3 linked regions of the Arabidopsis thaliana genome follow. The protein of the gene in region 1 interacts with the protein of each later gene in a pairwise test. Each region holds a gene or a part of one and is shown in the gene's direction. Other genes may lie near its edges. The genes, in order: TAC1, TGA10 and TIP.

Region 1 (6,018 bases):
AATTTAAAGATACAAACCCTTTGAAAATTTAAAATTTACACTATGAATTATATAAACTAACATAGAAATCGGATTAATATTATTAGATAGTTCTTATAGAAGAATACAATCAACATGATTTTTAAAATGACTTGAATGTACAACCAATTGAACCAATAGATCTATCTATATCTCAGTTTCCAAATGGCGACACATGTGTTATCGCTTTTCGCCTAAAACTATTTTGCTAAATTAAACACTTATATTTTAGAAGCTGAAACACAGAAATTTAGGGATTTTTGAGGAGTCTAAATGACTAAATTGAAACTGATGATTTTTTAAGTTGGAAACCAGAGTAGATCCCTAGCTACTATTAGATTAAACATAGTAAAGTTTCTTATATAAGTGAATCAAAGACAGCGAGATCTATGATGTGTTTATATGTAAAGTTTGTCTGAAATGTGTTTTGATTAAAGTAGGAAGTGAAGCTACTTTGTCTCGAGGCAAGGACCAAGGTGGTCGGGAAGTAGCTTCCTCTTTGTTTTGTGTTTTATTATAGTTTTCGAGATTATGGTGTTAAAAAAGAGATAGAAAATTGGTATATATGTGTTTGATCAAAAAAGAAAAATGGTATATATGTGTGTGTATGGATCGGATGTAAAAATATATGTAGTTGGGAAATATTCGATTTATAGTTAGAACTGATAAGTTTAAATTCATCAATAATTGAGATTTAGAAACTTCGCTAATTACCCATGCCAATTCTGTCAAGTCATGGGTTAATTAGACAATTTAAGTTTTGAATAAAGAGAAAATGTTTGCTTATATAATGGTACTTTTAGTTGTTTATGTGAAGAATATGTCCACATATTATATTTTTCATGTATGTGTATGGTTTGCGTTAATGGATACTACACCTCGTTTGTCTAGGTTTAAACTCCCCTATATGAAAAGTGGAGTCAAATTTCTACAAGACCGAGTCCTTTTAGAGAGTATAGGCAACATATAGTCTTTGCCAAAAGACATATTTGAGCACAAATTCGGATTAGACACGTGTGGTAGGTTAATTTGGTTTGATTTAAAAGTATCGCACAAATGTAAAGCTCTCGCCTTTTGAAGAGCCGATGAGAGCAAAACAAGCAAATCATAACCTGTATTTTCCTTTATTTCGACAAAGACAAACCTCTTTCCTCTTGTCGTTATAGAGAATTAAAGAAATAGATCATTAGTTACAGAATTTATTCTCATAACCCTTTCTCATGATTAGTCTACTATTTTTCTTTGATGCCGACAGGTAACTTTATTTTATTTACACAAAAAAAAAAAACTCACGACTAGACAGAGTTTATAGATAAATCTGAAAAATCTTAACAAAAATATATATCCAAACATTAGTTTACATATAAAAGTAAAACAAAATTTCAATAGTAACTCTAAAAATAGTCTTCTTGTGAATACTTTTATCCATTTCCTCTTTTTCTAACCAATCAAAATTTTGTTACCTAACAAAAAAAATAACGGAAATTTTCTATTGGGTTTCAAGTAAATAAGAGAAGCTGAATAAATTTTACAAAAGGAAAACAAATGTTTTTCCCTATATATGTACTAACGAACTAAATAAATCAATAATTGCGAGGAGAATAAATAATGATCCGAGGGAAGATCTCATTGGCATACAAGGCACAATAAGAATAAGCAAGGAAAGGCAGTCAAAAGAAGTCGAATATTATTTGTCTGTTAGAAAGCATAATCCTAAGTTCCCATCATTGGCTCATAGAGAACATATAATCTTTCTCCAATGATTTGATGTCTCACACTCACTAGTCACTACTTTTACTTTTCACATTTTATATGCCATTTGCTTGCGCAAAAATACACTGCGAATGAAGTGGTTGTAATTTGTGGTTTCATTAGTTTGATCGATCGACATAAAACGATTTGTAACAATAGATCCAAAACAGTTGCAAGTCGATCGATAACTAGTATGGGTTCAAGTCCATGAAATTCAATCACAGCTTTGCGGAATTCAATTGCTTAGATTTCTTGAAGAGTTTTGTTAGGAATTTCATGTCTCAACAAGAAGAAACTTAAAATAACACATAACGAATGTTAGCTAACATAAACATATTCACGTTGTAAATGCATTACGTTTTAATCTTAGAAATTCATGAATGTCTATATTCTTAAAGAATACCATAAATTTATCAGTACAGATTCGACATCCCATCAATCATTCGCATAGTTATAGCTCTAAAGATCTATCCAGTACAATCATATCAAACAAAGAAGGCTAAGACATACGAATGGACATGATAGAACATGAACAACAAAATTTTGTTTTCCACTAGAGCATATGTTCTCATAGCATTAAACCTTTCGAATAAGCATCTTCTCAATACTATTTAGCCTCACGAGGGTTATAAATTCTCACATTTCCCTACTGACTTCTCACCAAACAAAAAAAACTAGAAGAAGAACGATACATAAACTATGCTCACGCAAGAACTTGCGCGCATTATGGGGGGTGACGATGATGAGTATTGGTGAGGACCGGGTAATCTGCATCCTGAGGTTTAAAGCTTAATTTACGCAGGAAATTTGTATACGCATATACGTATGTGTATTAGTATACCTTTTAGTCCTCGGGATGCGGATTACCTCGTTCTTACTTACAATACACGTACTCGGAGACACGATTACTCATCATCTAGAGGTTGGTTTTGATCCTCCATTTCTTCTAAGTTTAAACATCATTAATAAGATATTTAAGACTGAATATCACCACACATATATAGAGTCAGTCTCATAGATGATGAATTGGTAATATTATATGACACTACTGACTTAAAATTATTATCATATAATATTACTAATTATATTAAAGTTTTTTTTCGTCAACATACACACTAGTTAAAAATTTGAATTTAGAAAAGTTCAATTGATGACTCATTTCAGGAATGCTCGAAACAATGGCAACGACGCTTGTGTATGTTTGAATTAGTGATATATCCGTTTTATTCATACTTAATTAAACTGGTAACTCTAACTAATACGCTGTATATTTACCTTTTTGTCTAGTGAATAAAAAAAAATCACGACGACCTAGTTTTATGTCTTTTATCTATTGCTCAAAGGTCGCTCATTGCCTTTGACTAATATGTTTAGACTTGTGATTTCTGCTATTCAATTAAATTAATTAACTGCGTTTATTAAATTTCAGTTAGGTGACTCATAAAAAGAAAACATAGATTAATTAAGTTATATATATAGTATAATGATGTACATACAAATTCAAAAGTACTATGGATCTTGCTTTGAAAACGAGTCAGTCAATTGATTTTGTAGATTTATTCAGTTTTCATAGATGTCCAACACTGGAATAATTGTTGATAATTTCAGGAAAAGCATATGTTAAAATAATGCTAATAACAAAAACAAAGCTAGTGATGTGTATCAAACTACCAATTGTGCAGAGACAAAAACAAAACGCCAAAATGCTGTGTTGTACCCTTTTTTGTCAACTGCGTATCTGTTTTTTTTTCAGTATAAAAAACTTAAGAAATCTCTAAACCTAATTATTGAGAGTAAAAAAAAAAACAAATAAATAATCAAATTTTACTGAAATAAATTGTAATGATCAAATATATTTAAGCATTGAATTTTTTTTGTGTAGTCCTAAAGTTGAATCTTGAAAGGCTGCTGATCTTAATTTGTCTTTTTTTTTTTGTTCGTGCAAAGCTGCTGATCTTTGTTATTGTCTCATATGTAAGTGGTTAGCATAAAATAATATTAATTTCTTGAATATGCGTTGTATATTTTGGTGACCATATACAACTACTTACATCGATCTTGTAAGAATTGCACATAGTAAAGTAAATATATCACAAATCATATGTCCGATAACTTCATCTATTTATATATTTAATGATGAAAATTGTAGTTTGATAAAAAAAATAAAAAAAATAATGATGAAAATTGTAGAAACGAAAGTATTTTAATCGTAAAATGGAAAAAATTGTTAGATTTTTATTGATCATTTTTTGGTAGTTGCTATACTGTTTATAGGTTTTATATTTAGTTGTGGAAATAATTTATAACTATAACAGAATAGATTATTCATGTAATGACATAGAAACAGTTGTTTTCACTTTTCTTGTTTTGTCTTGGTGCCGTGGTAGATTTTGATAATAAAATTAGAGTGTTGATTAATTTATATTTGCCAAAACAAAATAAACAAATAAATAATTTCAAGTTGACCAATTCATATTTCTTGATGGAAAACACTGATCTCTTCTCTTCTATTCTTTCTTTCTCTTATGAGGAATTTTCACAATCTTTGATCATCTTCTCCTTTATTCTACGGAAGAAATCTATATATTCTATATATGGAAAACATCAAAAACCCTAAAAACGCAGATGATTGTTCCGATAGCATATCAAAAAACAGTCATCAAGGCGTTGATGATTCCCTGAACCAGTCAAGATCTTACGTATGCAGTTTCTGCATAAGGGGCTTCTCGAATGCTCAAGCACTAGGAGGGCATATGAACATCCACAGAAGAGACAGGGCTAAACTCAGACAAAAGCTTATGGAAGATAATAAGGATGATGTCGTCGCCGAGAGTGATGCATCCGAAGTTGTGTCTCTAGACCTTAATGAACAACAACAACAACAAGGAGAAGCTTTGACATGTGATGATCACGATCAATATGTTGATAACGATATAAGTCCTAAACAGAAATTAGAGTTTTGGGTTCAAGAAAGCAAGCTTGATACTAATGATCATGGAAAGGTCACGGAGGCTAGCATAGATGGTTCGAGTTCGAGTCATCATCGTGATATTGAAGTATTGGATCTCGAGCTTCGGTTAGGCCAAAGCGTCGTAAAGAAGAAGACAACATAGTCTCTGAACGATGAATCATATATTGATTGCATTGTATCAATGGGAAAATCCCTATGAAACACCAAACTCTCTAATCCGTCTATTACAAATGGATTCGTGGCTCAAATTGTATTGTAAGGTATGCATTTGTATCTTATTGCTACCATTATCGTTGTTGTACCTTGTATTGATATTTGTTTCCTTGCTTGGGTTAATTTCACCAACAACTTTTGTAAATGACATACACGTCCAAACAAACAAACATATATATAGAAATTATATATATTTGGTGTTTGCTTTATAGTTGTTTAGGGAAAATGAATAACTAATAAGCTTAACTTAGCTCAACATTATTGATCTGGTCATGGTAGAGACTATTCAAACTTGTTCACTGAGAAATATTGTTACAGTTGAGTTATATATTGGTAGTCGTCCTCAGATTTTCGAGTAAGCATTTGCCAATTATGACTCTTATATTCGAGATTAGCACTCAACATTTAATTATATGTTAGCAAATAGTATAACATTAGCTAGCAAACTTATAAACGATAAATTTGACCAAAACAACATAAACCAAGGTCACTTTATCTACTTTTTGTTCTCTGAATTCTGAAAACGAATTTGAATATCGTATTCTAACAGTGAATATTGCATTTATACTAAAATTTACGATCATAGCCATAAATAAGTAGTTATGTATAGTCAAACTATATGTAGTTATACAGTACTTTAAGACGTTTGAACCGCTAAGATTCCCATAATCTGCATGATAATATAATGTATGTAAACTGATACATGCACAATTGCACATGATAAATATAACTAAATTGATACATGCCGATTTGCGCATGATAATTATAATTATATGCTCTATAACATGTTAGGATTTAAAATGAAAAGAGCAAATGGTTCAAGGCTGCAACTTGGTGACGCCACCAATGATGACCTTTTACGTCTTAACCACGTTCCGGTTTGGTTCGAGAACTTGTTTGAGATCCGCTTTGGATCTAAATTCAGATTGGTTTTATTTGAGATGCCGTGGAAAATTGGATAATTTCCACCAGAGATATATGATTTAATTAATTGGATTTTGGATTCGATTATAGTAAACCGATAATAGTGAGGCAGTAACGAACAAAACAACTTCAACCGGATC
Region 2 (10,537 bases), on another chromosome or scaffold:
AGAATTTGTTAGATAATAGCCCCTTCCAATTCCAAATTTCTGATAATCCACAGTTTAGCCAAAACAAGCTTTTTAAGAACATGAGGTTACCTGTTTTGGCCATATAGCAGAAAGTGAATTCTGCAGCTCCATGCGTCTTCTACCCACATCTTTCAAGCTCTCTCTTAACTTCACTTCACGGTGCTTCTTCTCCTCCAGCTCTGAAACAAGCCTATCTAGGAATCTGTTCGACAAACAAATACATATATCAGAAGCTGTGGTACTCACTGTGATCCCCTGGCAGAGATTCTTTATCCTAACGCACCTTTTGGAGTTGAGGATCATGATCAGATCCCGAGATTTCTTGTTTGTTAGCAATGAAATGGCCATGGAGATGTCAACCACCATTGGCTCTATGGTTTCAGGAGAATACTGCTGAAGAACCATGGGGGAGACTGCTTGCACGTGGTGTTGCAAGGACAGCGTATCTTCATTTCTCAGTTCTATCAAACGCTGGTTCAAAAATGCCTTGACCTGACACAAGAGAAACGACATCAACTCAAGAAGCATATCCAGGATTAAACTGAGAATTAGATAGTTAGTGATAAGAGTACCTCATACAAATCATCAAGGATCTTATTCCTATATTCTGTCTCCAACAGCTGGCTCCTCTCTCCTCCACTCCCTAAGACTTGAGTTGTAGAATCTGTCAACTGTGTCTGGTTTGATTCTAGCAAAGCTGAATCACCTATTTCTTCTACCTGAGGTGTTTCAACACTTACATCCCAAGAAATCTCAGAAACATCAACCTCAAGGCCTTGGCTTTCTTCCACTTTAAATGGAGAATTCTCAGGAATATCGCTGGCATTGACAATTTCATATGAACCTAGATCATTTCCACTATCAACTTCTTCTACCATACTAACATCCCAATCTATCTCAGGAGTCTCAACCGTAATATCCCAATCAATGCTGTCTGCAGCCGCATCTGTACCATTTGCATTCTCAGATGACTGAATATTATCAGCATCGAGACCTTCAGAGTCCCCAAAAACGCTTAATGATGGAGGGTTTTCACGAATGTATTTCAGGTTTTGTAAGACAATCCTCAAAGGCTTCTGCAGACAGATCAGAAGCCGGTCAATTCAATCTCCAGGAAACAAGGACCAAAATTTTAAAGAGAAAGAGATTGAAGTTAAACAGTGATCTTACATCTTTCTCAGTATGAACATCTTGAACATAGGCAGAGTAGTACTCCATTGCCCCTGTTACTGAGTCACTGTTGATAACTTCCAGAATCTTGCTAAAGGTACTAGGAAGCGAACTCGCAGTCTCCAAAAGCTCACGCCTCACATTGTTTCCCTGATATCTTAAATGTTTAAACTTTATATGATCCTTTTAAAAAACATATAGATGAAAATCAACCAAGTTTACAAGTAAACCTGCAATCCAAGCTCTCGGCAAGCATCCTCGTATTTTGTTGCTGAGAGTGCAACGCTCCTTTTGATATCAGCTTCTTTACGATCAAGTTCTGTCATTTGTTGCTGAACCTTTTGCACTTGCTTTTTCAGATAAGGGCTTCATGTTTTGCAAAAAGAAAACATATTAGGGAGATCAGAAATGCCAAAGTAGAGAGACTATAGGTAAAATCAAGTAGAAGCCAACTTACATTTCGTAATTAACATTCTGAATTATTATCTGAGCTGCCTCCCCAAGATAAATGTGATCTTTTTCAAACGCACGAACAATTGCTTCCCAAACACCCTAAAAGAGCATTATACAGCTGAGACAATGAACACAAACAAAAGTGCGAAACAGAGAGACAGTTTTCCTTACAGAAGCACCCGAAAGTCGACCAAAGATGTTGCGGCTTTCCGGAGTTGTCTTCAGGAGAATCTCATACACCTTTTTGACCTCCAAGTAACCGATCACTGGAAGCAAAACAACATTAAACTTGAATGAGAATACAACCAAGTAAGGCCCTCCTCCTAATCAATCATCAGACATAACCAAACAACAAACAAGCTTACGGTGTTCACAAAGATGCCAATAAAATCTCTTTGGCATTTTCAAACAAAATACTAACACTTTAAGTTATAAATGAGAGCAGTGAACCAAAACGCAATTTAAGACGAATTCGTTTTGAAGGTTTGAAAATTCGCCAAACTGATAAAAGAACAAAATTTGAAGAATTTAAAACCTTCAGGATCTAGGGTTTGAAAGAATGGATCGATCTCTTTAGGCAAAGAAGAGAACTCTTTTAAGATTTTGACTCTGATCACAGCAACCCTCTTCCTCCAATCCGCCGGAATTCTCTTCCGATCCACCAACCATTCTTCAAATTCAACAAAATTGAAATCAAATGAAGACAATAATCACCAACGCAGATTCGAATCCAACGAAGAAAACGAAAAAAAAAAACCAAAGAGATATAAAAATTTAAAATTCCGTGTACTCGTAATTGATAGTTCTGCATTACCTCCGAGACGAGAGAAGGTGATATCGATTGGAAGATTTTGAACATCATCTTGTGACGGCATTTTCTTCCGGTTAACCTTTCACGCTTTCTGGGAAATTTTATCTCCGAAGTCTCACACAGTTTAACGTTTTGGAGTCTCAAGAGTTTGCTACAGAAGAACGCATAATTTCATTGGTCTCATCAAATATCTCGAATCCGGTTATTGAACTAACCGAACCAATTTACTCCGGTCCGCGGCAGATTAAATTGTTTATTGGTTTTATATGGGTTGGTTGGATGGTCCATTACCGCGGTTAACATAAACTGGTCTATCTAGTAACGTCGGTTTTACCTTTACGGATTAGTCTACAGATTTTAAACTTTTTTTTCTTTACAAGTTAAAACTATTTTGAGGAAATTATTTGTATGAATATTTTGTGAATGATGGGAAAGAAATCAAAATTAGTTTACCAGCTCAATTTGATCAAACCAATTAGCTTAACAAAAACAAAACCTAGACCATATTAGTGCCCATTCAAACAAAGTACAATGGAACAGTTAGAGATACAAACAAAATTCAATCAATATATTTGACAATCTAAGTTCATAAATCACATAATAATGACTTTTAACTTGTTTCATATAATGTCTAGTGTTTATAGATTGAATGTAAGAGCGGTTAATGGATCATTAAAAATCGAATAAAAAATCTTATAATAATAATATAGATGATGGAATTGAAAAGTATATCTTAAAGTAAAAATCTAATAGCTGAATAATATATATAGGAGAAATATAATAATAATAATTTAGAGAACAAACAAAAAATATTTATACAAGTTTGTTATCAGCAATGTGACTAGAGAGAAGGAAGAAGAAGAGAGAGGGGATGGAAAAGGACATGTTCTTGACCGCTTTATCAGAATATTTTTCTTGGTTTCATACAAAAATAAAAACAAAGTCGTCTTCTAATATTTTAAGGTAGAAGAAACTTATACAACAAAAATATCAGAAAATAAAAAGGAGTTTGTCTTTAGGTTCTTCTCTCCAATCTCTATTTTTCTCTCCAATATCCTTCTTAAGTTTTTGAACCCTCTCCACTTCAATATAACCGACCTCTCTTCTCTCTTCTGAAAAAAACACCAAAGGAGCTTTAAATGCTCCGTTACATAATCTCTATCTCTTTCCAAGAATATAGAGAAAGGAAAATAATATACAAGAATTAAAAGAAGGTATATCATCATCTCTCTAGCTAGTGATCAAAGCACCGTCATCATCATCATATATCATCAGCTTGCCTCAGAGGAGAAGACCAACATAAGAGAGATCGAAGATCAAAATCTATCTCTCTTCATCATCTTCTGCTGTTACTATCATATCACACGCTCTCTCAAACATCATCCTATATATAGACTTCTCTTCATCATCATCAAATGCAAGGTCATCACCAGAATCATCATCAACACTTATCATCATCCTCCGCCACGTCTTCCCATGGAAACTTCATGTAATTTTTACTCACTTAATAACTTTTTGAATTGATTGATGATCCCCATGTTTTTAATAAGAGAGCTTTAATTTATGTGTGCAGGAACAAAGATGGGTATGATATTGGAGAGATAGACCCATCACTCTTCCTCTATCTTGATGGACAAGGACATCATGATCCTCCATCAACTGCTCCTTCTCCTTTACATCATCATCACACAACTCGTATGCACTCTCTCTCTCTCTCTTTTCTTTCTTTTTTGGGAATTGGGGTTTGTTTTTTTGGTTTCAGCAGATAAGGAAGATTCCCTTTAGGTGTGTGAGAGAGAGAGAGAGTCACAGCAAAAGCATGCCAAACAGATTTCAATCTTTCTTCTGCCATCAGTACTCTATTCTTTCAGCTTTGACCAGATCCTCTCTCTTTTCAGACACCAAATCTTTCAAATCCATATATCTTACACTTCTTTAAACCCTTTTCTCTCTCTGTCCTTTTTCTTCTAATTAGAAGAACTAGTCCGCTCACATATTTATATACATGACTTGTTATAACTAGACCATTTCTCATACATATGGTCACATGACTCATCTTATGGCAGAGAATTTGGCGATGAGACCTCCAACATCGACGCTCAACATCTTTCCATCTCAGCCTATGCACATAGAGCCACCTCCTTCTTCTACACACAATGTAATAATTATTACTATTACTTTATAAATTTCTATATATATATGCCAATTTTAGTTGGTTTCTGTTTCTAATTTAATATAATGTCAGCGCAACTACTAGCCATTTCATATAATATCAAGTCAGACCAATTATTATACGTTTCTTATTTTTCTATTGAGTAGTGATTTGATTGTTTTTTGGTTGTTTTATATAATGTGTTTGGTAAGACCGATAATACAAGATTAGTTCCGGCTGCTCAACCTAGTGGTTCCACTCGACCAGCTTCTGACCCGTCCATGGACTTGACCAATCATTCTCAGTTTCATCAACCTCCTCAAGGTTCTAAATCCATCAAGGTCTCTATCCATTTATGTTTTTTTAATCATTTAATTGCTTTGTCGAACTATAACTCGAGTATAGATATAGACTTGTTGTGGTTGTTTTTAGAAGTTAATGGGTCATATCTAAATGTTATGGCAGAAGGAAGGGAACCGCAAGGGTCTTGCCTCATCGGACCATGACATACCTAAATCGTCAGACCCTAAAGTGAGTGTATATTCATACAACTGCAGAAAATTAATAAGATTCTTTTTTTTTTTTTTTTTTTTACTTTTCGGTTTTTGATAGTTTCTTTATTAATTTAATTCTCAACAGACATTGAGAAGACTAGCACAAAACAGAGAAGCAGCAAGAAAAAGCAGATTACGTAAAAAGGTCAGCATTCAATATTTGTAAGTTGCAAATATAGTTTTTATATCCAAATTTATTTATAACGTTATTTGCTTTGGTAAATTACGACAGGCTTATGTTCAGCAACTCGAGTCATGTAGGATCAAACTGACCCAACTAGAACAAGAGATTCAACGGGCCAGATCCCAAGTAAATATTTGAACCTGTCTTTTCATATATATTGTATTTAACCTAAAGTCTAAAATGTACCAATTTAATTTGATTTCCTATATATGTTTAGGGCGTATTCTTTGGAGGGTCTCTTATAGGAGGAGATCAACAGCAAGGTGGACTACCCATTGGCCCTGGCAACATCAGCTCTGGTACGTTAATAGTTTCATAAATGTGATGACTCAAAAACCGTAAAATTTGAAAACCGAGAGAATGAGATATTGAGTAAATGCAATGTGAAGCAGAAGCAGCGGTGTTCGATATGGAATATGCGAGGTGGCTGGAGGAGCAGCAGAGGCTATTAAACGAACTAAGGGTGGCAACACAAGAACACTTGTCCGAGAACGAGCTTAGGATGTTTGTGGACACATGTTTAGCTCATTATGACCATTTGATTAACCTCAAGGCTATGGTCGCTAAGACCGATGTCTTCCACCTCATTTCTGGAGCATGGAAAACTCCAGCTGAACGTTGCTTCTTGTGGATGGGTGGTTTCCGTCCATCGGAGATCATTAAGGTACATCTCGTCTTTTCTTATAGCCATATACATATATTTAGGTTTTTCGAGAGATATTTACTTATTCTATTCGAGCCACATCCCACACAATAATTAGTCATGATGATATTGTAAACTAATCAAATATGGATTAATAAATCTAAATTTTGGAATTTTACTTGAAGACTAATCATTTTAAATTTTATCTTAGAACCTAAAATATTCCAGGATACAATCATTAATACCATCAATTTTGTGGATTACTTGCAGAACATATACTAATAATGACTGAAATTGTGACATTGTTATTATTTATATCGTACATATATGTCCACAGAATATAGTACTTCCAACTTTATTTTATTATTTAGATTTTTTTTTTTAATTTAGTCTTTGATTCTCGTAAAAGAGGTACGATATAGTAATAATAGATAAGACAGACAAGAGATAGACTATATAGTGATATTGTTGGACGAGGTATATATATACATAACATTGCATGGGGTGACTCTAGATGTATAAAACCAACATATATACGTGAATGTCTTTATATTACGACAATAATAAAGGTACACGTAAAATTATTTTGAAAACAAATTAAGAATGCATGCAATTGTGTGTGATGGTGAAGTATCTCTAGAAATAGGTAGGTTTTGGCATAATGCAAAAGAAAGTGCCTGTCTGTTTTTTCGATTTATGGGATCCATAGGAGAGAGAGATAGACATAAACCACCATGGAATTCAACAGAGACGACCATAATAAACAAACCAAAAATAAATAATTGTTTAACATTTTTAGCACGCTCGTCAATTGGATGATTATCATTTTTTTTCTTTTCTAAAATGGTTACGTAAAGCCATTTTAATTAAACCTACTTTTTATTCTAAACAATATGAGTACCTACGATAGCCGATTAATAATACAAATTAATATATGGATGGTGTGCATATCTGACAAGACCTTTGGCAATGTCTCAATCTTATATCCTTTTTAGTGAAAATAAAAAGGAAAGAAGAGATTTTGGGTGTAGCTAGTAACTCGTGCAGAGTACATACACTACACACTTTAATGCATTCAACGTTCTTTATGCATCCATTAAGACCATTGTTAATTAATCCTCGATATCTCAACTTGTGTGTATTAATTAGAAACGCATGCATGCAGGTGATTGTGAACCAGATAGAACCATTGACGGAGCAACAGATAGTTGGGATATGTGGGCTGCAACAGTCCACACAAGAGGCCGAGGAGGCTCTCTCGCAAGGCCTCGAGGCGTTGAATCAATCACTTTCCGATAGCATTGTCTCTGACTCCCTCCCGCCTGCCTCCGCACCACTTCCTCCTCATCTATCCAATTTCATGTCACACATGTCCTTAGCTCTCAACAAGCTCTCTGCTCTCGAGGGCTTCGTTCTCCAGGTACCCTTATAACTCTTTCTTTTTAAGTTTATGTGCAATTATATATCAATATACCAATCTTTTATCTTTATATAAAAATATACCTATAGAGTTGATATACAAGTGGACCCCTAGAGGATATATGTGGTCCTAATCAGACTAGGAATACATATTCTGTTTCTTTGAACTACTCCTTATTAAACTCAACTATCATATACTTATATATTTCTATATTTGGCTGTTATAACACGCTATCTAAATTTATATAGATGTTTGTATATATGTGTGTGTCTGTTTTGTGTACAACTCATATATAGGTATAACGTCGGCCATAATTTGTTAGAGGACATTTGTAATATATTAAGTGTATATAGAATAAAAGTGGTTGATTTTAAAGAAGATGTCAAAACTAATTCGCAAACTTAATAATTATGCATTAACATGTATATGTATATGAAATGGAAAGTATTTGCCTCTTGATTCGGACATTATGCAAGTAGGTATCTAACAAACACTTCTCTTGTCTTATATCAACTTGGTCGGGTTGCTTTTCTTAGACGACCAAGTTTATTAATTTAATATTTATTTCTTAATCATTTACTAGTTTAGGACAGGCAAGTTTTTGAAACAAAGAAATATATATATCTGCTTGTGTATATTAATGTATAAGTCTATACTCTATATGCAAATGGACATTTCGGCTAATTAATTCTATACAAGATACATGCATATACAAGTTGGCATCTTTCAATGATTTCTTAATATAATTAGTTCTAAATTGTTCCTGTTCCGCCTATAAAAAAAGTTTTTGTGTTTCGCTACACGGTTAGTCGCTCACAATTTGGAGAAAGATCCAACTTTAAAATAGGTGGTAAATGTGGGGTTAGTTACTAAAAAGGGGTAATGAATTCAATTTTCTCTAAACGCACGTGACAATTGGCACCATGAAAGTATGTATTAAGTATACATATTCCAATATATGTAGTCCAAAAGAAAAATACATATATTATGTATCTATAATATATCACATCAAATAAAAACATGGAATGCTTGGAGCCCATATCGTTGCATGATGTCATGGACGTAACTGCCCAAGTATCCCATCCTCCGAAAACACTTCCTTGAGAATAATTCCTTTACTTACATTTGATTCTGCATTTTTTTGTCTACTTTTATATCATTGATAATAGGTTGATTATATATGTATGATTCTAATTAATGATCAAAAGTATCATGAAGCATGGCGTGGGACCGAGGGTATGGAATTCACGGTTTCACCTTTTTGACATGTTGGTGTCGTGTTCTTATTAGTGAATTACTAACAAGCTTTGATTTTTTGATCGATCAACATGTTGAATAATCGGCATTAGTCGTCAATCAACCACATAATTTCGGGTCATGCACAATCATTATAATGCTTAATTAGTCCTTTATCTGTTTTTTTCCTCTCTAGTTAGTCTTTAATACTTATATTTATGAGATTAATGATGGTCCAATTCGATTATTTGTCCTTAATTGGTCTTAGTCAATAACATGTGCACTACTTTGTCCATCTTTTGTTTTGCTTTTACTATTTCTCCATTTTCCCTATAACTCTTATTTAGTTTTGAACTAGCTAATACATTAGAAACTTACAGGCGGATAATTTGAGGCACCAAACGATCCATAGGCTGAACCAATTGTTGACGACCCGTCAAGAAGCACGGTGTCTTCTAGCCGTTGCGGAGTACTTCCACCGTCTTCAAGCTCTAAGTTCTCTCTGGCTAGCCCGTCCTCGGCAAGATGGATAATACTAAAACAACTGATGAAGGAAACCAAAAACAAAAACAAGAGAATAGGTTGATTAGTTAGCCGCCAGCTTGACCTCTTTATCATATATATCGTCTCTCTACTCAAATACAGTGCAATTAGGGAAAATTGTTTGGCTTCTTTTTGTTATATGATTCTTACTATTATGTTTTTAATCAAGATGCAGATTATATATATAGACAAGTATTCCATACCTTTTAATGAATTCTTCCTTATGCAAATTCAAGTGAAAAATTATACTTGATCTTCAATTCCAAACACAAGAACATGAGAGAGTATTGAAAGGAAACAAAAATAGAAGGCTGGCAACAATTGCAGTTGCATGCAAGACTTATCACTTGTTAGGTCAAATTAAAGCATTGACCAGTGAGGAAGGTGACAAATGGTGAGTTCTGTAGGATACCGTCAGGGACTTGGGATCAGTACCGTTTTGCTTTGGGTTCAACGCCCTTCTCTCTCTCCTTTACTTTTCATTTCTTTGCTGTCACCAGTTAATTTTTTTCAACTCTTCTATTTTTATTTCTTGACTGATAAAAGTGAACATTACAGTAGTACACATGCATGGTCAAATCAAAACAACAAAAATCTTTTTACATCACAAAAAACGAGATTGATTTAGCCGCAAATATTTGAAAAAAAATAGTTTCTAAGTACATACACTAGCAATCAGATTATACATGTGTTTATTCTTGGACTACAAATTCGTTTGGGCCGTAAATTTTTGGGCCCTAAAGTTTTCTATTGAATTTTATTTCTTTTTAAGAGAAGGAAAAAACGTACAAACAAAACATTATAACTAAAGCCCACTACTTTTGGGTTTTAGAGTAAACCCAACAACACAGTACATGATAAGAATAGAAGCAAACAGAACAAAATAATAAAACAGAGCAGATAAACACACGAACACAAGAAACACAAGTTACGAGCAGAGAAGACCTAAAAGCCACAAAGAAGTTTTACAATTCAAAGCATACAATCTGCTTTTGAAGGTAATTTCCTGAAGAAGTTACTTGGAGCAGAAGGCATCTTGCTTCTGAACTTAGGATGCCTCATCCAGAACATCCCACCCGCAAGAGCTATGATCTTGAAAGGCGTCACGTACAAAATCATCGCAGCAACAAGACAAAAAATCACAAACAAGCAAGTCGCACGCGGATCTCTCCAACTCAACAAAGCCTGAAACCTCTCTCCTTGCGTTGCAATGTCTCCAACAACCATCTGGATCCGACCCGCAACGCTTCTTAACCTATCATACCTCATCTTCACAACATCTTGTCCCTTTGAAGTTGGGAAAGTATCAAATTCCTCATCTAGCTCATCAGGGCTAGCCGCTTCAGCCCA
Region 3 (7,833 bases), on another chromosome or scaffold:
CAGGTGGTCGTGGTAATGGTAGTCTTATGATAAACCAAGATTATGTGGCTGCAACGGTTAACCGTGGGAGTTACTTCTGGTCGTTAGGACTACGAGCGTTCTACTTCTCCTCGCCTTTATTCCTATGGATCTTTGGTCCCATCCCAATGTTCATAACTTGTTGCGTTCTTGTTTGTTCGTTGTACTTCCTTGATTTAACGTTTGACTCGATGAAATGTAGCGTTGGAGCCGCAGACGCGGAGGAGCCCGAGATTAGAAGCTTAGCTCAGAATGTTTAGTAGTTTTTTTTTAATTTGATAATGGTTAGGGGTTCAGATATATTGAAGAGAGTTTTGTTCAATGGAACATACAAATCTTGTAAGTTGTATTGATTCAGGTTCAATGGTAGTTGAACCGTGTCAAAGTGTCACTCTGTAACCAAGTGAAGAAATTTGTTGTCATTTAACCGTAAAATTGTCAATTTTACTGATGTCAAAGATATATATATTTTTTTGGTAATTTTGCATATGCATATGGTATATATGGATCATATATATTCCATGTTTATTTTCAACCCTTTACTTTAAAAGTTACGAAGAATTTAGAACAAATTACAAATATGGACTTGGATCAAAAATGTTCATAAATTCTACTTCTATAGCTTTTTCTTTCCCCGTTTATAATATATGGTATTCGGAGGTAACATTTTTCTTATTTTTTCTGTCAACCACATTAATTGTTTGAGATCTCTTTAACCCTTTTGTAGTTAGGACAAATGTTAAGAATCCATAATAGTAAAACTAAATATGTATTTATTTTTGGAGCTTTTATTTTTAATCTTTTTTTAAAACACTATATATATAGTGGGTGGTTTTCTATATTTTTTTAACTAACGTTGATATAGGATTTAACCCACGATATACCGTGGGACAATTTGTGTTTCGCACAATCTTGATTCGATATGTTTAATATTGGTAGTGTAACAAAATAATAAAATGAAAAGAGCAATTGGGTAGGGTCGGATCATCATGAGATATTTAGTAATTTAACAACTTGTAGTTTTGGTGACTTCTTAAATTTTGATCAGATAGAACATAGCCACTAAGTAGGATCATGAGGAAATACATAATTTTCTAAATAAAATAAAAATAAAAAGAGAGATTTCCACATATTCAAGTTTTAATATTTTTTCTTTGTTTTTCAAATAAATTAAAACTAAACTAAAATCCACATCTAATTACCATTCAAATTTTTCAAACAACTAACATTTACACCAAAAAAAAAAATTACAAACTAAAATTCGAAAGCCAAAAACTATTTTAAAAGCTACATACATTTATGATTTTAAACAACGGAAAATAAAATATTTCCAGAAACTGAACTTTGAGATAGAAAGTAAACGTCTTTAGTAACTAAGTGATTGGTTGGCATGTCACCGTAAATTATTCGCTGTAAAATTTTGACCGTCAGCGTGTAAAATGCAACCGTGTATTTTATTGTTATACGTGTAGATATTAGGGATATAAAGTCTTAGAAGTAAATTTATTAGTCGTATCTTAAAATATGATTAGTAAATATTTTATAAAATATTATAGTTAACCAAACTATATAATAAACAACAACACAAATTTTGTGATGCACATATAGGTTAAATGGAATCTATATAAACATGTAAAATAGTTTATATGTTAGTCGGATAATAACTACATATTAGTTGAAAAGAATATATACATATAAATTTTTTGTTCAAATGTTGTTCAAAATTTATACATAAGTATACATTAACAAACAAAACTATACATGGTATTTATACTATTAGTATATATCCATCTAGTGCCTAGTGTACATTATATAAGCAACACATAAAAAATGATCATGAGGAAATAAAATTAAAATAAAAGAGAGATTAAATTAAAAATATAACTTATAGAACTTATAACAACATATGGTTTTAGGTTGTAGAAATATAAGATTTACGGTCACAAGATTTTTTTTTTTTCTAAAACTAATTCACAACAATTTGGTCTTCACAAAAACAATTATGGTTGTAAAAGATTACATTCCAACTAATCAAACACTATAAGAGACTATCCTCAAACTAGAAACGCAGAGGTCTAAACCCAAAAACAAAACAAAAAGCAATGACTTAGATAAACTTTGTTGGATATGGGCTTCGCCCCATTTAACATTCGGAGGCCCAAACAAAGAGTCATTGAAAACCTCAGTTAAGAATGATGAAGACCAGCCCCCCTGAGAAAGCCGCAGCCCATTGCGAGATGAGGCCCATTTTCTGGAAAGGATCAGCCGCCATAGAAGTTTCATATCGCTCAGAAAATGGTACTGTGTACTTTCATTGAAGTACTATAAATATTGACAGAGGAATGCCAGAAAAGGACACCTGAAGTCGGACGAGAATAGTACAAGAACATTCTCATTCGGATTCAAAGACATAAGCTCGACAATTGACTTGTGTAGTTTTATTCTTGTTGTATCTCTTAAAACGAGGCTTGGCTGTAAACATATCTTGTAAACGGCCGAACGTTAAGTTTAGATAAATAAGATCTTCCTTTTCGCTCGCTACTTTCTTCTCTGTTTTTGAGGTTTAGTTTTGAGTACCAACGGACTTCGATATCAAACGTTTTAAAGTTTAAACCTATTTGATTTACATTATTTGGTTTAAATAAATTGATTCAGACTTCACACGACCAAGAAAAAAAAATGGTTGAATTGGGTTCTCATCTATTGGGCTTTAACAACAAACACTATTAGTAAGATGGGCTGGCCAGTTGTGTAAACTGTTTCATATTGGTAAATCAATATGATACCAATTAAGTTTATTTAATTCTTCTTTAACTTCCGTACAACTATCACGAAGCTTCCTTTATAGCATCAACGTGTCAATATATGATTCGCTAGGTGACATCTCTCGTTCAGACATCCTCACCTTTTGACTCATATAACCCCTATTTCCGTAACTATTTTACTGCAATACTTCAGGGGTAAAATAGGTATTTACATTCTGTTTTGCCTTTTACGCGTAACGAACGTGGTTTTGTGTTTTATGACTTTCTGGGAAACAGTGGTACGCCTATCCACGCGCCACTTTTTCATCTCTTTGTCTTTGATATCTCTCTTGTCTGACCAAATCGTGTCACATCTCCTTCTTCTCCACTTTACCAAATCGTGTCAAATTTTAGGGTTTTTTCTTTTCGTACTTCATCAAATTCTGGAATCTGGTTTTTTCTTAGTTTTCTTCTATATACCTTTGAATCGCATCTTTGATCCAAATTCATTTTAGATATCACCTTGAAGTCGAATTTGTGATTTTTTCTTTTCCTCTCGAATTCTCAAAGTCTCACGCAACTATGAAAGAAGACATGGAAGTACTATCGCTCGCTTCACTACCGGTTGGGTTCAGATTTAGTCCAACGGACGAAGAGTTAGTCCGGTACTATCTCCGGCTCAAGATCAACGGTCACGATAACGACGTTAGAGTAATTCGTGAGATCGATATCTGCAAATGGGAGCCTTGGGATTTGCCTGGTAATTCCTTTCTTCATCAAATCAATTCGTTGATTCATCTTTAGCTCTTTAGTCTCGGTTTAGCAATTCCCAGGCTTCAATTCCGGTTTATGCATGTTTGAATTTGGAACAATATGATCAATAACTTCTTAGCTTAGGTAGTGGACTTAGTGAATTTGAGTAAAGATTTATACTTTAGTATTTGTGGTGTAGATTTTTCTGTGGTGAAGACAACAGACTCAGAGTGGCTCTTCTTTTGTCCTTTGGACCGGAAATATCCGAGTGGAAGTCGAATGAATAGAGCTACTGTGGCTGGATACTGGAAGGCGACGGGAAAAGACCGTAAGATCAAATCAGGAAAGACTAAGATTATAGGTGTTAAGAGGACTCTAGTGTTTTATACAGGTCGTGCTCCTAAAGGGACACGAACTTGTTGGATTATGCATGAGTATCGTGCTACTGAGAAGGATCTTGATGGAACAAAGTCTGGCCAGGTAAAAACCAACTTGGCAAATGATGGCATTAACTTGTGTGTGTAGGTCTTTTGTGTTTCTGATTGTGTTTGTTTGATTGTTTTTGGTTGCAGAATCCGTTTGTTGTTTGTAAGTTGTTTAAGAAGCAAGATATTGTGAACGGAGCTGCTGAACCAGAAGAGTCAAAGTCATGTGAAGTTGAACCAGCGGTATCGTCTCCAACTGTTGTGGACGAGGTTGAAATGTCTGAGGTATCTCCTGTTTTCCCTAAAACAGAAGAGACTAATCCTTGTGACGTCGCAGAGTCTTCTCTTGTAATCCCCAGCGAATGTCGTAGTGGATACTCTGTCCCTGAGGTTACAACCACCGGGGTAAGGATGAACAAAATACATTCTTTTCATTACAGGAGGCGGTACAACCGCTTTGTAAACTTACAAACTTCATTTTACTCAACAGCTTGACGATATCGATTGGCTCTCGTTTATGGAGTTTGATTCCCCGAAGCTGTTCTCTCCGTTGCACTCTCAGGTGCAATCTGAGCTCGGTTCCTCTTTCAATGGCTTACAATCTGAGTCTAGTGAATTGTTCAAAAACCACAATGAGGATTACATTCAGACTCAGTACGGTACAAATGATGCGGATGAATATATGTCCAAGTTCTTGGATTCTTTTCTTGACATTCCCTATGAGCCAGAACAGATCCCATATGAGCCACAGAATCTTAGCTCATGCAACAAGATCAATGATGAATCTAAGAGAGGAATTAAGATTAGAGCTCGACGAGCACAAGCCCCGGGTTGTGCTGAGCAGTTTGTAATGCAGGGCGATGCCTCAAGAAGGCTGCGTCTTCAGGTTAACCTTAACAGCCACAAGTCAGAAACTGACAGTACACAACTTCAATTTATCAAGAAAGAGGTGAGAAGAAGTTTGTTTTCATACCTTCTCATGTATTACAATTTATGATCCTTATATTTATGCGATAAAATGTATATAGGTTAAGGACACAACAACGGAAACTATGACGAAAGGATGTGGAAATTTCACAAGATCAAAGAGCAGGACTAGTTTCATATTCAAGAAAATTGCAGCCATGGGATGTTCATACAGAGGGCTTTTCAGAGTCGGTGTGGTAGCGGTTGTGTGTGTGATGTCGGTCTGCAGTCTAGTCGCATAAATCCGCTGAATGTGATGTTTGTTCCGATCAATTCATATAGTAAGAATAAAGAAAGTGGTTTTTACGGGTGGAGAGAGCGCGGATTTGTGTGTATAACAGGGGTTTTGGCCTGGTTCTGCATCTGTTGTTATTGTTGTTGTTTTTGTCGGCTTAAGCTTAACCATGGTCGGTTTAGGAGTGTAGTAGACTTGTAGTTAACATGTACGACGACTCATAATATTCAGATGGTAATGTTTGGAAATTTTTTTATTCCTGACCACATGTGTCTTGAGATTGCGTTTTTGACATTTTTAGTAGCCTTGTACAATCAGAAACAAACTACGAGTTCGAATGGTAGCACCGTAATGAAAACGGTGTCAAACATGTTAGTACGAACCGACCGGGTAGAGATATTTATTAGAGGTGTGTTTATTTCGTATATCATTAAACATGTTTAGTATGATAGGACGGTTTGATTGAGGGTATGGACTGTTAAACATGTCATTTGGGTATTTTATGGCATTAAGTATGCCCAGTAATATATTACAAAATTTTTGGACAAAAGAATGCATATTTGAATAGTTCAAATAATATGATCACCTCTCTTTTCTCTCCTTCATATCTTTTAGAGAGAGGAACTGTTGAATTCTGCCGACCGGATTATTCTGGTAAACTGCCGTCCCAAGTTTTGGGCTTTTGCCCGACATCTTTTTGGCTTTGTTAGCAAAGATGGCCGGTCCTCTTCTGGCAAATCCGGCTTCTACAAGAATAATTGTATCCTTACTACTTAATTGTATGGACCAAGAATAAAATTTCAAAATTTAGTTGTTTTCTTGATATCTGTAAAAAAAATTAAACAACACTTACAATAAGACATAGGAAGCAGTTTGTATCAATATTACTGTCGTGTTGCTTTGGAATAAAACCCAAAATACGTAAGTACCAAAACAATTATTAGACTTTTTAAATGTGTTAGCTGATATAAGTAGTATATATCAATGTTGTATCATACTTTGAATAAAACTCAAAATTATGTGTGAGTAAGAAAAGAAAATACAATTCTTTCCAATATATAAAAACATCGTAAATGCATAAAATATGTGCATTCGAATCTTAACGCCATTGCAGTTGGACTCATGTCTCCACATGCGATGCACCGAACACCAACTAACTTTATCTCAACTATTTTTAGAATTCACGTATCATGTTCTTTAATCAATTTAATATTTCGATTATAAATTTATAATGACCAAAGAAGGTGATGCACACTTTTAAAGCGTAAATATACAATAGTGGATATGAATGACTCGATGCTTGATCATTAACATGGCACATTACATAAAACAAAAGTCTATAAATTTCTTTTAAGTTTTATTAAAAACGGATGACAAGAAAAGAGAGTCTATAAACTTATTTTAGCAGAGAAACTAATTCGGTTGTGGCATAGAGTTATTTTTTTATATGGTTTAGTCAATATGGCTTTTTGTATTTTTGACTTTTTGGATATACTTTTGAATCAGATTAAAGTCGCATATTGCCGGTTGGTATAAAAGGAACTTCATGTTAATTCCAGAACGATCTGAAAAATCTTCCATAAATCAATTTTATTTAACAAATGCAAAAACCATTAGTACGTAAAATTAACCTATAAAAAACCAGAGGTTATTTATTGTCTTGATTTTTGATCTGCGATAACATCTGCTGAGTTTTGAGTTATACAAACCACTCAAGTCTCAACATTGAGATTTTTTCAGGTCCATTTGGATAAAACAATAGTTGAAACCCATAAAGATAGTGCGCGTCAAAAGTAAATTATACATTGAGACTCAAACTGTGAAAACGATCGGATACAAATTACATGTCAATTATTATTACTTAAAGTTCATTTTATAGCAGGTATACCAAAAAGTTAAGTCCAAATTCGCAGTTTTAGAGGAATTTTTTACTACAAGTAAAGTGATAATATCATCAGTTTTACCAAACGATGGAGACCAATTTTAGTTTGTAGCATAATATAGAAAGTATAAACTAATTTAGAGATGGACACAAGGTAAAATACAAGTGATTCATTTTTCAGCTGTTGTGTATGAAAAATTGTTTTATATGTTACTTTTATTCGTTCGAAACGGATATTCAACATTTTACATTAAAAAAAATTTCGTTGCAGGTTATTATGAAAAAAATACATTTCTATTGTACCGTTTTAATATTTTTATAACAAACACTAAAAATATCATTTACCTCTGTAACAAAAAAAAAATCATTTGCCTGAAAAATTCTTCAATTTCATTACCTAATCCACTCCAAACAATTACATAGTAAAAATGAGATTTTTGTTATTTACGAATACTTTCATTCTTATAAGCAATACAGTGGATATACTAAATTTAAAATTTTGTAACTCTTTAAGACTTATTAAAAATTATTGCCAAACTCACCAAGAAATATGGAAATAAATGTACTTTTTTGTTAAATCATATTTGGATAAAAGATGGACTCATAGATACGCACAAAAATGTATACATTCAGCATATTGTGTAAGCTGAGTCAGCTCCAGGTGTTTGGGCACATGTAAACATGGACCCGACCTTTTTACCTCTTTTTCTGTTATAAGTTTTTAAAATAAAATTAGATTACTTCACAAAGACTATAAAAAGGATTATAATTCCAAAAACAAAACAAAATTATAAAAGTAAAAAAGATATA

Evidence for each region.
Region 2: the proteins of TAC1 (region 1) and TGA10 interact in a two-hybrid assay, tested with the Arabidopsis thaliana proteins (one large-scale study listed by BioGRID).
Region 3: the proteins of TAC1 (region 1) and TIP interact in a two-hybrid assay, tested with the Arabidopsis thaliana proteins (one large-scale study listed by BioGRID).

The regions. Positions count from the first base shown.
Region 1 is NC_003074.8:2,851,777-2,857,794, forward strand, and holds TAC1 (telomerase activator1), read left to right. Parts: upstream 1-4,260; 5' UTR 4,261-4,364; coding exon 4,365-4,883; 3' UTR 4,884-5,121; downstream 5,122-6,018. UniProt on the Arabidopsis thaliana protein: Activation factor which mediates telomerase activity and potentiates responses to auxin through the regulation of BT2. Binds in vitro to the DNA sequence 5'-GACAGTGTTAC-3' of the BT2 promoter.
Region 2 is NC_003076.8:2,117,041-2,127,577, forward strand, and holds TGA10 (bZIP transcription factor family protein), read left to right. Parts: upstream 1-3,431; 5' UTR 3,432-3,870; coding exon 3,871-3,944; intron 3,945-4,028; coding exon 4,029-4,150; intron 4,151-4,521; coding exon 4,522-4,613; intron 4,614-4,819; coding exon 4,820-4,948; intron 4,949-5,072; coding exon 5,073-5,138; intron 5,139-5,246; coding exon 5,247-5,306; intron 5,307-5,393; coding exon 5,394-5,471; intron 5,472-5,562; coding exon 5,563-5,644; intron 5,645-5,734; coding exon of another isoform or gene 5,735-5,737; coding exon 5,738-6,009; intron 6,010-7,153; coding exon 7,154-7,408; intron 7,409-9,024; coding exon 9,025-9,177; 3' UTR 9,178-9,417; downstream 9,418-10,537. Other genes in the region: AT5G06830 (uncharacterized protein), read right to left, coding at 91-223, 305-513, 594-1,097, 1,192-1,341, 1,422-1,557, 1,649-1,743, 1,816-1,910, 2,180-2,314 and 1 more; FTIP1 (C2 calcium/lipid-binding plant phosphoribosyltransferase family protein), read right to left, coding at 10,160-10,537. UniProt on the Arabidopsis thaliana protein: Together with TGA9, basic leucine-zipper transcription factor required for anther development, probably via the activation of SPL expression in anthers and via the regulation of genes with functions in early and middle tapetal development.
Region 3 is NC_003076.8:8,414,235-8,422,067, reverse strand, and holds TIP (TCV-interacting protein), read left to right. Parts: upstream 1-2,991; 5' UTR 2,992-3,344; coding exon 3,345-3,522; intron 3,523-3,714; coding exon 3,715-3,995; intron 3,996-4,087; coding exon 4,088-4,345; intron 4,346-4,430; coding exon 4,431-4,889; intron 4,890-4,968; coding exon 4,969-5,148; 3' UTR 5,149-5,693; downstream 5,694-7,833. Other genes in the region: AT5G24600 (TRP-like ion channel protein (Protein of unknown function, DUF599)), read left to right, coding at 1-278.